Linked DNA regions of Arabidopsis thaliana. The protein of the gene in region 1 purifies or fractionates together with the protein of each later gene. This does not show direct contact. Each region holds a gene or a part of one and is shown in the gene's direction. Other genes may lie near its edges.

Region 1 (7,137 bases):
TCGGTTATGTAATGAATATACATCCAAAATGGCTTTTTAGTAATGATGTCTTTTCATACTCTTTCCAATCCCTACTACTTTCAGATTATTTGTCCTACTATTATAGAGATATACGTTCGTTTTCAATAATATGAAAAGTGATATATATTTAAATAGTGTGATATATATATAAGTTTTGCAAGTGCATCACTTCCCAAAATCGCATAAATCATTAATCATATTGTCGAAAACAGTATAATAACTTCTTAAACGAAAACGCAGCGCAATTAAAAATAACAACTAGAGATAATTGACAAAACATTGATTAATATTTACCTATAAGTTAATTATTGTATTTAAAATTTATTTAAAGTTCATAAGGAAAACATATGCAAAAATATTTATATCTAATATTTTGCTATGTTATCCTTTTTTTTTTTTACGTTATCCTAATTTTGTTTATCCTAATTTGTTGTGGTTAAAATCTTATTATTGATAAAAAGAGAACTTTTTTTTTTGTCATCATAAAAAAGAGAACTTATTACTTCGATTTTAAAATTCTATGAGCGTAGGAGACAAAGAAAAAAAAAATAAAAAAAAAAAGAAGAGAAAAATCACTTCTTTTCTTCTTTTTAGTCCAGATCCAACATATTTTGGATAACTAAATGAAGATTTTTTAAAAAAATATATTTTAGGGTATATATAAATCATAATTTGAAGCAAATGAAATAAAATCCAGTTTGGTAATATATAAATATGATTTGATGGGTTCCTTGTAATCTCTCTCTATCTATTAGTTTCTCAGTTATCTTTTCTTTGCCAGAAATGGCAGTGAAGGCAGTGGCTGAGGAGAGAGTTTTTTTTCTTCTTTCATGGGGAAAGTAAAACTTTGCCTTGAAGATTTCTCTCTTCAATATTTTTCTAAGACTTTTGATTTCAACGAATCACTGTCCTTAACCTAAAAGCAAGAAAAATTAGCTTTATACTGGTCTTTACTTTTTTTTAACATATTTATTTTTATATAGTTTACTTATAAACATAGACATACGAGTATGGGAATATATAGTATATCCAACTTCTAAATAATATTTCGAATAGTGATAACAAAATTAGCAATACATACGGCTAGTGAAATGTTGATCGAATAAACGGCACTGATGTAATGTACTTATCAATTTTGATAATTTTAATTGTATTGTTTTTCTTTTTTTCCCACAGTATTGAACTAGACAATTAAATTTAAAGTAAAATTATACATTTCTTTCGTTGTGTATTAAAGTAACATGCATAATATCATTTTCCTTCGTACAATCCTCCAAATTGACAATTGATGAATTACTTTGTCAATCGTAAATGAATTTTTCTCAAGTCTGTATACTATTTTCAGGGATAAACAGGTACAGGTGTCCCATGCTTATTCTCTTGATAGTAACATGTGTCCTATGTTGAGTCAATTCTACGTTCGAAGAAGTGCTAACAATTGTTAATAGCCTCGTATATTATTCTAATTAAAATGCCTCGATAGATTTGGTTAGTGGTCTGAATGTGATTGGTTATTTTTTCAAGTGGCAAGAGGTCTACCATCTAATATTACAATCAATCGACCAAAAAGGTCGAGAACATGATAATGGTGGCAAATACAAATGGTTCATTGTTGTCTAATATAACAAGCCATCAGTTGTCACTTTTTAAAAACAATACAGAATACAAGATACTTTTTTTTTAAGGTAAAATGTGTGTTTAATATTTTCGTTTATATAACAAATAAACAGTTACATGTTTTACTCTATGATTATATTTATGACATTTTTCTTCTTCTTAACAACATTTTTTTCCCATAAGAACATTTACAATAGTATTAAAACTTTGATTGCAATCAAATGTTAGATCACTTATTATAAAATTACTAAGACTGCTATCTTTTCCTATTGACAAAAGCGAATCCAATATATGTTACTGAAACAAATGCGTAAATTATACTATATGGAGATCTATCGGTTAATTATTGAGAGAATCTAAGAAAGTTTTTGAGTACAACAGTCCTAATAATATCTTCACATACCATATAATATACATATATACATATACACAAATGTACTTTTTAAACCAACATCAGCATACGTATATCCCATCAGGAAACTTAGACTTTTGGGAATTCATGGTATGAAAACCAAAACCAAATGACAACATTCGATTTGATACTCCCGACCCATGGTAAAGAAATAACAAATTCCAATATATCTTTCACTGGACTTTCCGAGGCACATTCCGGTTTTCTCCATTTCAAGAAATTGTCAAAAATAAATTGAGATCCGGTTTATTACCTCAAAAAAGAAGAAGAGAAATTACAACATTAATTTCCGAAAAGGCATAAATGAGAAATCATATTTCAGCAGAAGAACACAAAAGAGTTAAGAACCCACAGATCACACAACCTCTGTCCATGTCTGCTTTTTACACTTTTTTAAAATAAGTTTCTCCTAAAAAGTTATTTCCTATTTATAATAATTTCCTTAGATTTATCTTCCTGGTCTCTCTTCTGCTGCTTCCCTCTCCCCCATAACTATCACTATTTAGAATTTTCAATGTGGAAAAGGAAGCTGATTGTTGAAGCATAAATCCCGGGAGACCACTTTTGCATTTTCAAATAATTAAATTAAACCATAGATACACACACACAGTTACTTACTCTTTTAGGGTTTCCCAATAAATTTATAGTACTTTAATGTGTTTCATGATATTGATGATAAATGCTAGCTGTATTTACAATGGGGGCTCCTCTTTTTTTTTCTTTATGTTATTTTCATTTTTTATTTCTCATAGCTATATAGCAAAGCCAAAGTGAATAATAATACTAGTGAGAGAAAGAGAAGATGGAGAGTGGTTCCAACAGCACTTCTTGTCCAATGGCTTTTGCCGGGGATAATAGTGATGGTCCGATGTGTCCTATGATGATGATGATGCCGCCCATCATGACATCACATCAACATCATGGTCATGATCATCAACATCAACAACAAGAACATGATGGTTATGCATATCAGTCACACCACCAACAAAGTAGTTCCCTTTTTCTTCAATCACTAGCTCCTCCCCAAGGAACTAAGAACAAAGTTGCTTCTTCTTCTTCTCCTTCCTCTTGTGCTCCTGCCTATTCTCTAATGGAGATCCATCATAACGAAATCGTTGCAGGAGGAATCAACCCTTGCTCCTCTTCCTCTTCTTCAGCCTCTGTCAAGGCCAAGATCATGGCTCATCCTCACTACCACCGCCTCTTGGCCGCTTATGTCAATTGTCAGAAGGTGATGAGAGAAAGAAACTTGAAAAAATTACTTTGAAAGTTTCTTCGTAACTCTAATGATTCTTATTTGATTTTCTTGCACAAAAAAGAAGAGAAAGATTCTAGAAACCCTAATTACCAAACTTTACCTTTTATTTCCTTTTTACATAACCCTTTACTTGATGTCTGAGTTTGATTTTGATATCTACTTTTGTTTACTAGTTACTTAACCCAGCTAAGTATATACAAATCAAAGGATACAATTTTTCCTATATTGAGAAAGTTTCAAGAAACAATTTGTAAAAACCCTACTTGCAAGAGATTATCCAAAATATTGTATGTAGGCTTGAAGATTAGGACATATATAATTATTTCATTTTTTTCTTTACTATATTATATATCCACAATAAACGTGAGGATCCTTATCTTAGTTCAATTAACGTTTTTATGTCTATCATTTACTAATTACACAATTTCTTAAGGTTGGAGCACCACCGGAGGTTGTGGCGAGGCTAGAGGAGGCATGCTCGTCTGCCGCAGCCGCTGCCGCATCTATGGGACCAACAGGATGTCTAGGTGAAGATCCAGGGCTTGATCAATTCATGGAAGCTTACTGTGAAATGCTCGTTAAGTATGAGCAAGAGCTCTCCAAACCTTTCAAGGAAGCTATGGTCTTCCTTCAACGTGTCGAGTGTCAATTCAAATCCCTCTCTCTATCCTCACCTTCCTCTTTCTCCGGTTACTCTCTCCTCTCTCTCTAGTTCTCTGTTTTTTTTTCTTTCTTTTTAATTCATATTCTTGTTAATTATGGCGTCAAATTAAACGTAAGATGAGGAAAGTTGTTTTTTTTCTTTGTGGGTTTTAAGAAAGATTTTCCTTTTTCTGATTTTTCTTGGGTAAATACCCCTTTGATGGTTGTTACTAGGGTTAGTGTCAGATTGTTATATATAGCTTACTAGGTTTACGTGTATAATCTATCTATACATAAGTTAGTGTATGTAGTTGTTTTCATTGAATTAAAACAGTTTGTTTACTGTTTTTTTGTTTTGTTTGGAATTGAATTCATTTGCTTTGGTACAACAACAATCACTGTTCTTGTCTCTTTCTTCTCCGTTTGTTTTGGATCTATTTAATTCAAATGCATCAAAAAGAATATCTGGATCTAGAGTCTGCTCGTCCTTAGATCTATTGCTCAATTTAGACATACACATGTTTTTGTACGTATAATCACATATACATATATCTACACAATGTCATATCACTCTTCTTTTCAAGAATGTAGTTAAGTTTATATAGACACACAAACTCACATCTACTTAACATGTTACTTTGAATTATTTGGATCACTAGCCTATTCTTTTTCATTTCCCTAGACACATGTTCTTGTTGACAAATTTGTCTTGCTTTCACATGTTTAATCAATATAAGGTTATGGAGAGACAGCAATTGATAGGAACAATAATGGGTCATCCGAGGAAGAAGTCGATATGAACAATGAATTTGTAGATCCACAAGCTGAGGATAGAGAGCTTAAAGGACAGCTCTTGCGCAAGTACAGTGGTTACTTAGGGAGCCTCAAGCAAGAGTTCATGAAGAAGAGGAAGAAAGGAAAGCTCCCTAAAGAAGCTCGTCAACAACTGCTTGATTGGTGGAGCCGTCACTACAAATGGCCTTACCCTTCGGTAACTCTCTTCCCTTATACTCTAATTAAATAATCATTTCATGTTTTTAAAAAAGCATTTATATGATAGCAAATTCAATTTAGTTGTCTATTAGCTTGTTTCAATGTTTTTAGTGATTTTTGCATTCATACTATATCGTTAGGGACATTAGTTTATGTTAGCTCATGTTGGCATTGCACAATATGCATTTGCATAATTTGAAATCCTAAAAGCTGAATGAAGTGAACTTATTTAGTCTATGTGTACTGTTTTGGTCTATTAGCCGATGACAAACTTGATTCTTGCTTCCATACCTTTTTTAGGGTCCGAATAATATGTCAATCTTAGTCAAGACTACGATCAATTTCATCTTATGGCTGTGTACCATAACTTAGACTAAACTTTGTTGCACATATTTCAAGTCATAACTTTGGAAAGTAGGGTGCATGAGGCCATACCCTAATGCAATAGTAGCTCATGTCTTTATTACACTTGTATAGTGTCATTACCCATGTTCGTATGAGTAGATGGATTCTAAGTTCTCCTTACAATCTAGCAAATCGTGATGTAGCTGTGATCATGGACTGACCTTATATCGGAGAGAACACTTGATGATTGATTTTTTCTCGCATGTGATATGAAATTGCAGGAGCAACAAAAGCTCGCCCTTGCGGAATCAACGGGGCTGGACCAGAAACAGATAAACAATTGGTTCATAAACCAGAGGAAACGGCATTGGAAGCCGTCGGAGGACATGCAGTTTGTAGTAATGGACGCAACACATCCTCACCATTACTTCATGGATAATGTCTTGGGCAATCCTTTCCCAATGGATCACATCTCCTCCACCATGCTTTGATCGATCCTTTAAAACGTTTATTTCATTATATTTATAATCGTTAAACAGCTTATAATATGTATAATCTATGGTTCTCGGTATACTTGGAACATATGAAACATGTTCCGATTGATGAACAAGCGTTTGATGTTGTGGTGTGTATCCTTTTGTGTTGTTCTATTGTTATGCGAAATTCCTATTCCTATTATAATGATAGTAAAGCTTTTTTGATCTATTCTTTTTATTTGACAACCTTTTTGACAATTTGGACCATTTTTTGGTTGTATGTATATCTTCCTTGCTAATTTTTAAGTATTTGCGTCGAAATTTTGTACTTTTGGGATGGAAAAGACGAAAAGAAAAGAGAGAATGCTATTACTCCAAAAGACCTAGTCTGGCCCAAACAGACCCATCACTATCCCAAAAAGACAAGATCGACCAAAACTTAATCCACTTCTAATAGTTTTGTCCCTTAAAACGCTTTCTGCTGTATGTATCTTCACAAACATATGACTTATCTTGAACCGATTCAATACAGCAGCATTTAGCATTGCTGAGAGTGATCTTTACACATATATACGCTTATAAGCTTCTCAAATTCTTCTTCATATGCTCCTCATCATCTTCAGTTTTCAATAGCCATAATTTGTTCCTACCAAAGACGAATAGTTCCAGTTTCTGCATAGCCACAATCTTCCATTTGTTTTCCCACTTGATCTAACCTGAAACTGGGACATGGTTCCTGAAGTTAGTGGATGTGCAGAACAAGAGAAACTATGGATCGAAGATACATCGGGTCAGCCTCGAGGATAATATCATCACTGACATTTTGAGCACTAACTAAACAGTCCAAACCAAGCATTGATTCAAGACATACCTCTCTATTCAAGATCGCTATCTGTTCTTGCTTCTTCATCACTATCTTCACATATATCCTCAGGAGGATCGTATACAATCATTCCAGGGAAAAGCTCCAAGAAATCATCTTTAACTTTCTCTCTCAACTCAGGATAAGGAACGAGTCCTTTCAAAATAACTCGAAAAGGCAGAGATAAAGGCCGGTCAGGAGACTCTCTCATCTCTCCATACAATCTCATTGCTTCTAAAGGAAGTTCATTATCCAAGAACCCTCGAACAAGGTCTCCAAATGTATGTTGATCAAACAAAACCTCTTCTTTCTTTAAATCTTCCCATACTTTCTTGGTTTCATCAACTTTCTTGTTTCTTGCAAGCATCATTAGCATGTCTCTGTAAAAAAACATGTCCGGTCTGTACCATATTTCTCTCCTCACTACTTCATAGAGCTGAAACATAATAAGAAGACAAACACTAAACCAAATTAAACATCAACGACAAGTGACAATACATAAACATCAACA
Region 2 (7,505 bases), on another chromosome or scaffold:
GTTCCTATGAACTTTACTAAGGTACTTAATTACTACTTCTTTTTGAAAATTTAAAGTTTTTGGAACTTAAATTGTGTTGTGTCGAAGGATCTTTAACTACAAACTGTTCTGTGGAGAGGTCTTGCTGCTCATTTAATGTGAATTTGATATACTGTGAGTTTTTTTTTTGTTAACTGACTGTTTTCTGAGAAGGGTTCTTTTCAGCATCCGTATGGTCATGCACCTTATGGTGCATCTTCTCATGGAAGTGAAAGAAGGCCAAACATGAATGCTGGCAATCTGCTAAATGGTGGAGACTCGATTGGTTCATACCCGTGGGGTTACATCCCAGCAAACTATCCTTCTGGTGGCTACCCTGATCCGAGGTTTGGTTATGACCGCAACAGCAATCACAGTTCCTTTTCACATCTCATGGTATGTTGGTTACTTCACATGACCTCTCTGCCTCTTTTCTGTCTTCATATAGTCAAGAGAATGTGTGTTTTGTTCTCTTCGTCATCTCTGCTGGGACTTGGGATTTTTTTTTTGTCTAATTACTGGCTACAACTGTTTTATTTAACAGAATCCACACAGCTCACAAGAAGTACCAAGTTTTGACCAATTGGGATATAATGATCATTTGTATTCCAACCATGGATTGTATGGACTTTACGGGAATGTAATTGACTCTGGTCATGCATATGGAACTTTTGGTTATGATTCCTGGAAACTTGGGCGAGGATGGTATCCCGTTGATGGTTATAGAAAGACCAGAAGCTTCAATCATGGGCGTGGTTACAGTGATGAGAAAGCAGATAGGCTTAATGAGCTATGTCGAGGACCAAGGAGTAGTGATTTCAAGAATCCACAAGTTCTTAACTCTTCAATGCTAGATGCAATGAAGCAAGACGTTTCAGCAGTAGATCTCCAGCGCTACAATGGGGAGAATTTCCCTGAATCATTTGTGAAAGCAAAATTCTTTGTGATCAAGTCATACAGCGAAGATGATGTTCATAACTGTATTAAGTATGGTGCATGGTCGAGCACACCAACTGGCAACAAGAAGTTGAATGCTGCATATTATGAAGCCAAAGAAAACTCCCAAGAATGCCCTGTGTATCTTCTGTTCTCGGTCAGTATGAGGTTACTTCACGTCTTGTGCAATATCCTTTCAGATTTACATTAAGTAACTCACTGTAATCGGTTTTATCTACAGGTGAATGCAAGTGGGCAATTTGTTGGTCTTGCGGAGATGGTAGGCCCTGTTGATTTCAACAAGACAATGGAGTATTGGCAGCAAGATAAATGGATTGGTTGTTTCCCTGTGAAGTGGCATATCATCAAAGACATACCAAACAGTCTCTTAAGACACATTACCCTGGCGAATAACGAGAACAAGCCTGTCACTAATAGCAGAGACACTCAAGAGGTCCGTTGAACTTCCCCTAAACCCTTTCTTGGACATGTTTGAAGCCTAATTGAATTCTAATAAATAATGATTATGGCTGTTAGTCAGGCTTTTAAACTGTACGGTGATGGTTTTGGTACAGGTGAATCTGGAGCATGGGACCAAGATCATAAAGATCTTCAAGGAGTATATGAGCAAGACATGTATACTTGATGATTACAAGTTCTATGAGACAAGGCAGAAGATCATCAGAGACAAGAAGATCAAGCAAAAGAAACAGGTACAATTCCTTAAACCCTGCTGCATCTAAAGCACATTAACCACCCCTCTTGATACAGTCTCTGGGATTGTTTCATTTTGATTGTTTTGTTATATTAGGCCCTTGATGGAGCTTCGGGGGAAACAATTAACTTGAGTTGAAAGATGGAATCAATGCAAGGAAAGAAGAAGATGACTTAATTAAAAGAACTTAGTTTTGAATTATGTTTTTTCTTCAGGGTTGGGATTTCTAAAAACCTAATACACATCTTTAATCTGTGTGTTTTCTCTGCTTATCTAAACAAAACTTACATTGTCTTTTGTTCCTCTTAAGGGGACGCACATCTGATAAAACAAAAACTCAGGCTTTCCTTCAAAGTTCATATCATGTTATTTTCAAGTTATTTCTCTTTTAGTCCCTAAACTTTCATATAATAAGACTCTCATCCGTAAATGTCAAAAATCTCACATTTTGGCCCACATCACCATAAAAGTTAAAACGACACCGTTTAGCACAAAAACCAGAAGGAATGGTGTTCTCTATTCGTCCCTAAACTTTCATATAATACAACTTTCACCCCTAAAGATTTAAGATCTCAATTTTTGGCCCCCATCCCCTTAAAATTTAAAACGACACCGTTGTGAACTCCCATTTTAAAACCTCGAAAGTTTTCTAGGGCAATCTCGGCCACTTTTACTCACAGAAAACCTTCTCTCTAAACTTCTTCGAAAATCTCACAGAGCTTCTTCTTCTTCGCTTTTAGGGTTTTTGCTCTATTGTTTCGAGTGACCCAACTTCGAAGCTTATAGATCGTTACCTTAGAAAATGGTGGGTATGTCGATGCAGCCATATGGTATTCAATCGATGCTTAAAGAAGGTTACAGGCATCTCTCTGGTCTCGACGAAGCCGTCATTAAGAACATTGAAGCTTGCAAGGAGCTCTCCACCATTACTCGCACCTCTCTCGGTCCCAATGGTTCGTAATGTTTCTCTGATTGGGATTTGATCTAATACTGAAATGATGAATCTCGTTTTCTCCGTTTCGTTTTACTTTTACTTGAGTGTTGTAAGTAGGATCTCGCTTGTGTATAGTTTAAGCAAGCTTGATCTGTTACTGTAAAGGTGAAGTCTTTTTCTAGGGATTCAGATTCGGATTAGAACTGAGTTCTTCTGTTTATAATGTTTCAGGAATGAATAAAATGGTTATCAATCATTTGGACAAACTGTTTGTCACAAATGACGCTGCTACTATAGTGAATGAGCTCGAGATTCAGCACCCGGCTGCTAAACTTCTGGTTTTAGCTGCTAAGGCTCAGCAAGAAGAAATCGGAGATGGAGCTAATCTGACAATCTCCTTTGCTGGTGAACTTCTTCAAAACGCTGAGGAGCTTATCAGGATGGGACTTCATCCGAGTGAGATCATTAGTGGATATACTAAAGCTGTCAGCAAGGTTGGTGAATACCTGAATTACTGTTTTGTGCTTTTCAATTTGTTTGTCTTGAGTATTTGACGAATGCTATTGGATTTTGATTATGCAGGCTGTTGAAATACTGGAACAACTGGTTGAGACTGGTTCTGAGACCATGGATGTACGTAACAAGGATGAAGTTATTTCTCGGATGAGAGCAGCTGTTGCAAGCAAGCAGTTTGGGCAAGAGGAAATAATTTGCTCTTTAGTTACTGACGTAAGATATTCCTTGCTATCTATTTGTTTCCTGTTTCGTTGTTCAGATTGTTATTTATTCAAGTTTATTGCAGATTTAGATTTTACTTGATGGGTTCATATTATTTCTAGGCATGTATTCAAGTCTGCCCAAAGAATCCAACGAATTTCAATGTGGATAATGTTCGTGTTTCCAAGCTTTTGGGAGGAGGCTTGCACAATTCTTGCATAGTCCGTGGTATGGTCTTGAAAAGTGATGCTGTTGGTAGCATTAAGCGAATGGAGAAAGCGAAGGTGAGATCTCTTTCTTTTGTTTATGCTTTTGACAAAGTTTTTTTTGTCTGAATTGATCAATGTTTGGGTCCCCTATGAAATATAGCTTTGTGGGTTTGTCTTTTCTGTTTTTGATAGCTTAATGTCTCTAAATCAATTTGTTATGCTTTCTTCAGGTTGCTGTATTTGCTGGTGGCGTTGATACCACTGCAACAGAGACCAAAGGAACTGTCCTCATTCATAGTGCTGAGCAGGTTAGATTTGTTACTGTCTTTCTAAAATTTCAAAATTACGATTATGGCTTCCTCAAAGATGGTTGTGTATTTGTAATCGTTATTGTGACAAATTTCTCTTTTTATATTGGATTTGTAGCTAGAGAACTATGCAAAGACAGAGGAAGCTAAAGTTGAGGAGTTGATTAAAGCAGTTGCGGAATCAGGAGCCAAAGTCATTGTTAGTGGAGGATCAATTGGAGAAATGGCATTGCATTTCTGTGAGCGCTACAAGTATGTGTAGACCATATCATGTTATACTCGTCTTAGCTATTGTTATTGTCTGCATTCTGATACCCCATTTTTTCTTGGCAGGATAATGGTATTGAAAATCAGCTCAAAGTTTGAACTGAGGCGTTTTTGCCGTACAGCGGGGGCTGTCGCCCATGTAAGTGTTATTAATTGGCTATCTGAATGAGTATCTAAGGGTGGTTTTATCCTAGCTTTTAATCCTTTAATTATCAAACAGTTGAAGCTTAGCCGGCCAAGCCCTGAAGATCTTGGATATGTTGATTCTATATCGGTTGAGGAAATTGGTGGTGTGACAGTAAGTACTCCGAAGTCAATTCCAATATTTTTGGTTAATTATTTTTGTCTTTCATTAATCATAGACAATTCTCGGTCTTCTTTTAGGTCACGATTGCAAGAAACGAGGAAGGTGGTAACTCCATCTCCACTGTGGTCTTGCGTGGAAGCACAGATAGCATTTTGGACGACCTTGAGAGAGCTGTTGATGATGGAGTTAACACATACAAGGTAATATCTAGCTTCATTTGTACCATCTATATCGTATAATTCATTAATTTGTGACTGTTATTACTTCAATTTTATTTTCAGGCCATGTGCAGAGACAGCCGTATTGTTCCCGGGGCTGCAGCGACTGAAATAGAGTTGGCTCAAAGGTTGAAGGAATACGCCAATGCAGAAATAGGGTAACTTTCTTTTACTTCATTTTTTCAAAAATTAAACATGTGAGGCTAGCTTTTAAAGCAAAACTGTCTATGGTTTGGGGACTGAACTTAGGATTCGCTTTTGAAATTTCAGGTTGGACAAATATGCCATCACCAAATACGCTGAGAGTTTTGAGTTTGTACCCAAGACCCTTGCAGATAATGCTGGCCTCAATGCGATGGAAATCATAGCCGCTCTGTACACTGGACATGGATCTGGAAACACAAAACTAGGCATTGACTTAGAGGAAGGTGCTTGTAAAGATGTTTCAGAGACAAAAGTATGGGATCTTTTTGCAACCAAGTAAGTTTCAGACTGTCTTTTTGCCATCAAATATTTCTATCAGACGTCTCTATACTTGCTTAGCAGTTGTTCTTGAACATATAAAAACTGGAGTAGAATTTTCTGACTGGTTACAAAGATTACCATTCACTTTAATTGATAACTAAGACGCTTAAGTCTCTGTGCAGGTTATTTGCCCTTAAATATGCTTCAGATGCTGCATGCACTGTACTTCGTGTAGACCAGGTATGCACAAACTGACTTGATTTAATCTTTGGTGAACGGAGCAATTTTTTATTATATTGTAAAGTGTTGATTCATCACATGAAGTAAAAAGATATTGTTCGGTGAATGCATTATCTTCCAGGATTAAGTCCCTTGTTCGTGAAAACTCTTAGATTCAATATTCAGTTCCACTGATTGATCTCATCTACTAAAACATGCATGTTTATACTCAAAATTTATGTAAAATGTGCAGATTATAATGGCGAAACCAGCAGGTGGACCAAGGAGAGATGCAGCTCAAGCTGCAGGTGCTGGTGCGGAGGAAGACTAAGCCGGAGAACAAATACCTCGTAGTGAAACTCTCTTCTTTTGTAACCTTCTGTTCCTGAAAGTCTGAGAAAATTTTGGTATGTCTCAGTTTAAGATTTGTGATCTTTGTAACGCACCACCAACTTAAGTGTTTTGCCTTCTTTTTCTGTTTTGCCTTGTTTTGGCTCGTCTCAACACTCAGATTTTCCGGTTTAGCTAGTGAAATTATTACTAGGATTTTTGGCTTAACTCTGTATTAATGTCAATTTGGTTTCTATTTGAATCGACTTTTGAACAAGTGACAAAATCATTCGGGGAAAAGAAAATGATCCACACATTGACAAAAGAACAAGAGAACCTAACTAGAAATTGAACCTATGTAAATATGTCTGGTTAACAGTTGTTTCGACTTTTGAACAAGTGACAAATTCATTAGGAAAAAGAAAACAAACAAACTAGTATTTGAACATGATCCACACATTGACAAAAGAACAAGAGAACTAAGCTAGAATTTGAACCTATGTAAGTTCTAAGCTTTTTAATGTTCATCCCTTAGACTTTTTAAGTCGGAACAAGATGAGGAGGCATCATATCATCCTGGAGATACATCCACATGAAAGAAGCAAACCCTGCAACTGCAATAGAGAAGACACTCAATCCCAATTTTAACACACCCTTGCTCCGTCCCAGACGTGGGTCTAGTTCAGTCTCCACTGTCTTAAGTTTGGCCTCAGAATCCAAATCTGTTTTTGGTTTCTCACAGATATCTTCTGTTGTGTTGGTTGGAGTTGTAGTACCAGAGGTATCATATATTGATGATGATGACGAGGTTTCACTGTACTGTAGCAGCTGCTGTCTGTTATCTAGTAACTCAGTGAATGGATCTTGTGCGAAACCATGCCTGTGATGTTTTGAACAAATGTCTCCTGATTGTCTCTTCTTGGTGTTTCGTCTTGAACTTCTTGAGCGGTTGGTCCTAGAGCACACAGATTCATTAAACTCGGAGCTTCTGTTCCGCTGATGGAACCAAACTGACTCAATGTTGCCATTTTCAACACCAGAACATTGAATCTGAAATCAAAGAAGCACCACAATGAAACTTCACTGAAAAAGGACACACAAGAGACAGCTTTAAAGTTTGTAGTCTTTTTTACCTGATCTCCAATTCTTGGACTCTCGATAACAAAACCAGTTTCTTGGTTATTGTCTCCGAAAGTCACCAGAGGAGAGCCTGAGACAAGAGTTCTTCCACTGGCTACACCAGAAAACAAAACATCATACTCGTCTTGATCGTTTACATAACTCCTATCTTGTCTACTATAGACACTCCCATCATGTTCTCGCAGACTTGATGTAGACTTGACTGATCCGCTGAGCGAGTTTCGGGGCTTGCAGTTCTCTGCATCAAACATCGGATCTGCCTCACATATTAATCTCTCTGCTTGTCTCATGGTTTCATGAGCTGCCATTTTGACATAATGCTGATCTTTTTGGTATTTCTCCATCTCTTGATATATAAGCTCTAACTCAGAAGAAATACTCTTGGGATTCAGATTCTTCATCAGAAAGTTGAGCATCTGTATAGCTAAAAGCCGTTTCTGAGAATCTCCCTCAACAACACCTAAATCCAGAATCCTCAGACCCGACTTCACAAAAAGCCTTGCATATGCCTCGACAGTAAAAGGATTGTGCTTGGAAAGTGCCATAACAAGTGCCATATGAGACTTAGCTTCACTTGAAGTAGCTTCAAGAGCAACAGCTAAGCTTTGACAAACATTATTAACCATTTCACTAGAAGCAGATCGCCAATTATCGCAATCCACAAGTGACTTCAAGCAAAGAGCAGATCCCAAAGCAAGATGCTGTTGATGTTGCGAATCTAT

The links. Proteins that work in one complex are often made in the same cells at the same time.
Region 2: the proteins of STM (region 1) and AT3G03960 purify together in Arabidopsis thaliana (affinity purification with western blotting, with the first as the bait; one study listed by BioGRID). This does not show direct contact.

What each region holds. Positions count from the first base shown.
Region 1 is NC_003070.9:23,057,438-23,064,574, reverse strand, and holds STM (KNOX/ELK homeobox transcription factor), read left to right. Parts: upstream 1-2,511; 5' UTR 2,512-2,852; coding exon 2,853-3,281; intron 3,282-3,741; coding exon 3,742-3,997; intron 3,998-4,687; coding exon 4,688-4,941; intron 4,942-5,569; coding exon 5,570-5,779; 3' UTR 5,780-5,993; downstream 5,994-7,137. Other genes in the region: AT1G62350 (Pentatricopeptide repeat (PPR) superfamily protein), read right to left, coding at 6,640-7,062. UniProt on the Arabidopsis thaliana protein: Required for shoot apical meristem (SAM) formation during embryogenesis. Negatively regulates ASYMMETRIC LEAVES1 (AS1) and ASYMMETRIC LEAVES2 (AS2 or LBD6). Probably binds to the DNA sequence 5'-TGAC-3'. Binds to RNA.
Region 2 is NC_003074.8:1,021,961-1,029,465, forward strand, and holds AT3G03960 (TCP-1/cpn60 chaperonin family protein), read left to right. Parts: upstream 1-2,183; 5' UTR 2,184-2,471; coding exon 2,472-2,622; intron 2,623-2,834; coding exon 2,835-3,097; intron 3,098-3,185; coding exon 3,186-3,332; intron 3,333-3,442; coding exon 3,443-3,604; intron 3,605-3,759; coding exon 3,760-3,837; intron 3,838-3,955; coding exon 3,956-4,089; intron 4,090-4,170; coding exon 4,171-4,243; intron 4,244-4,324; coding exon 4,325-4,402; intron 4,403-4,488; coding exon 4,489-4,611; intron 4,612-4,692; coding exon 4,693-4,787; intron 4,788-4,899; coding exon 4,900-5,109; intron 5,110-5,276; coding exon 5,277-5,334; intron 5,335-5,566; coding exon 5,567-5,644; 3' UTR 5,645-5,931; downstream 5,932-7,505. Other genes in the region: ECT1 (evolutionarily conserved C-terminal region 1), read left to right, coding at 1-21, 193-414, 563-1,111, 1,196-1,408, 1,530-1,667, 1,766-1,807; AT3G03970 (ARM repeat superfamily protein), read right to left, coding at 6,184-6,693, 6,777-7,505. UniProt on the Arabidopsis thaliana protein: Molecular chaperone; assists the folding of proteins upon ATP hydrolysis. Known to play a role, in vitro, in the folding of actin and tubulin. Contributes to stem cell maintenance through its impact on transcription factors trafficking through plasmodesmata.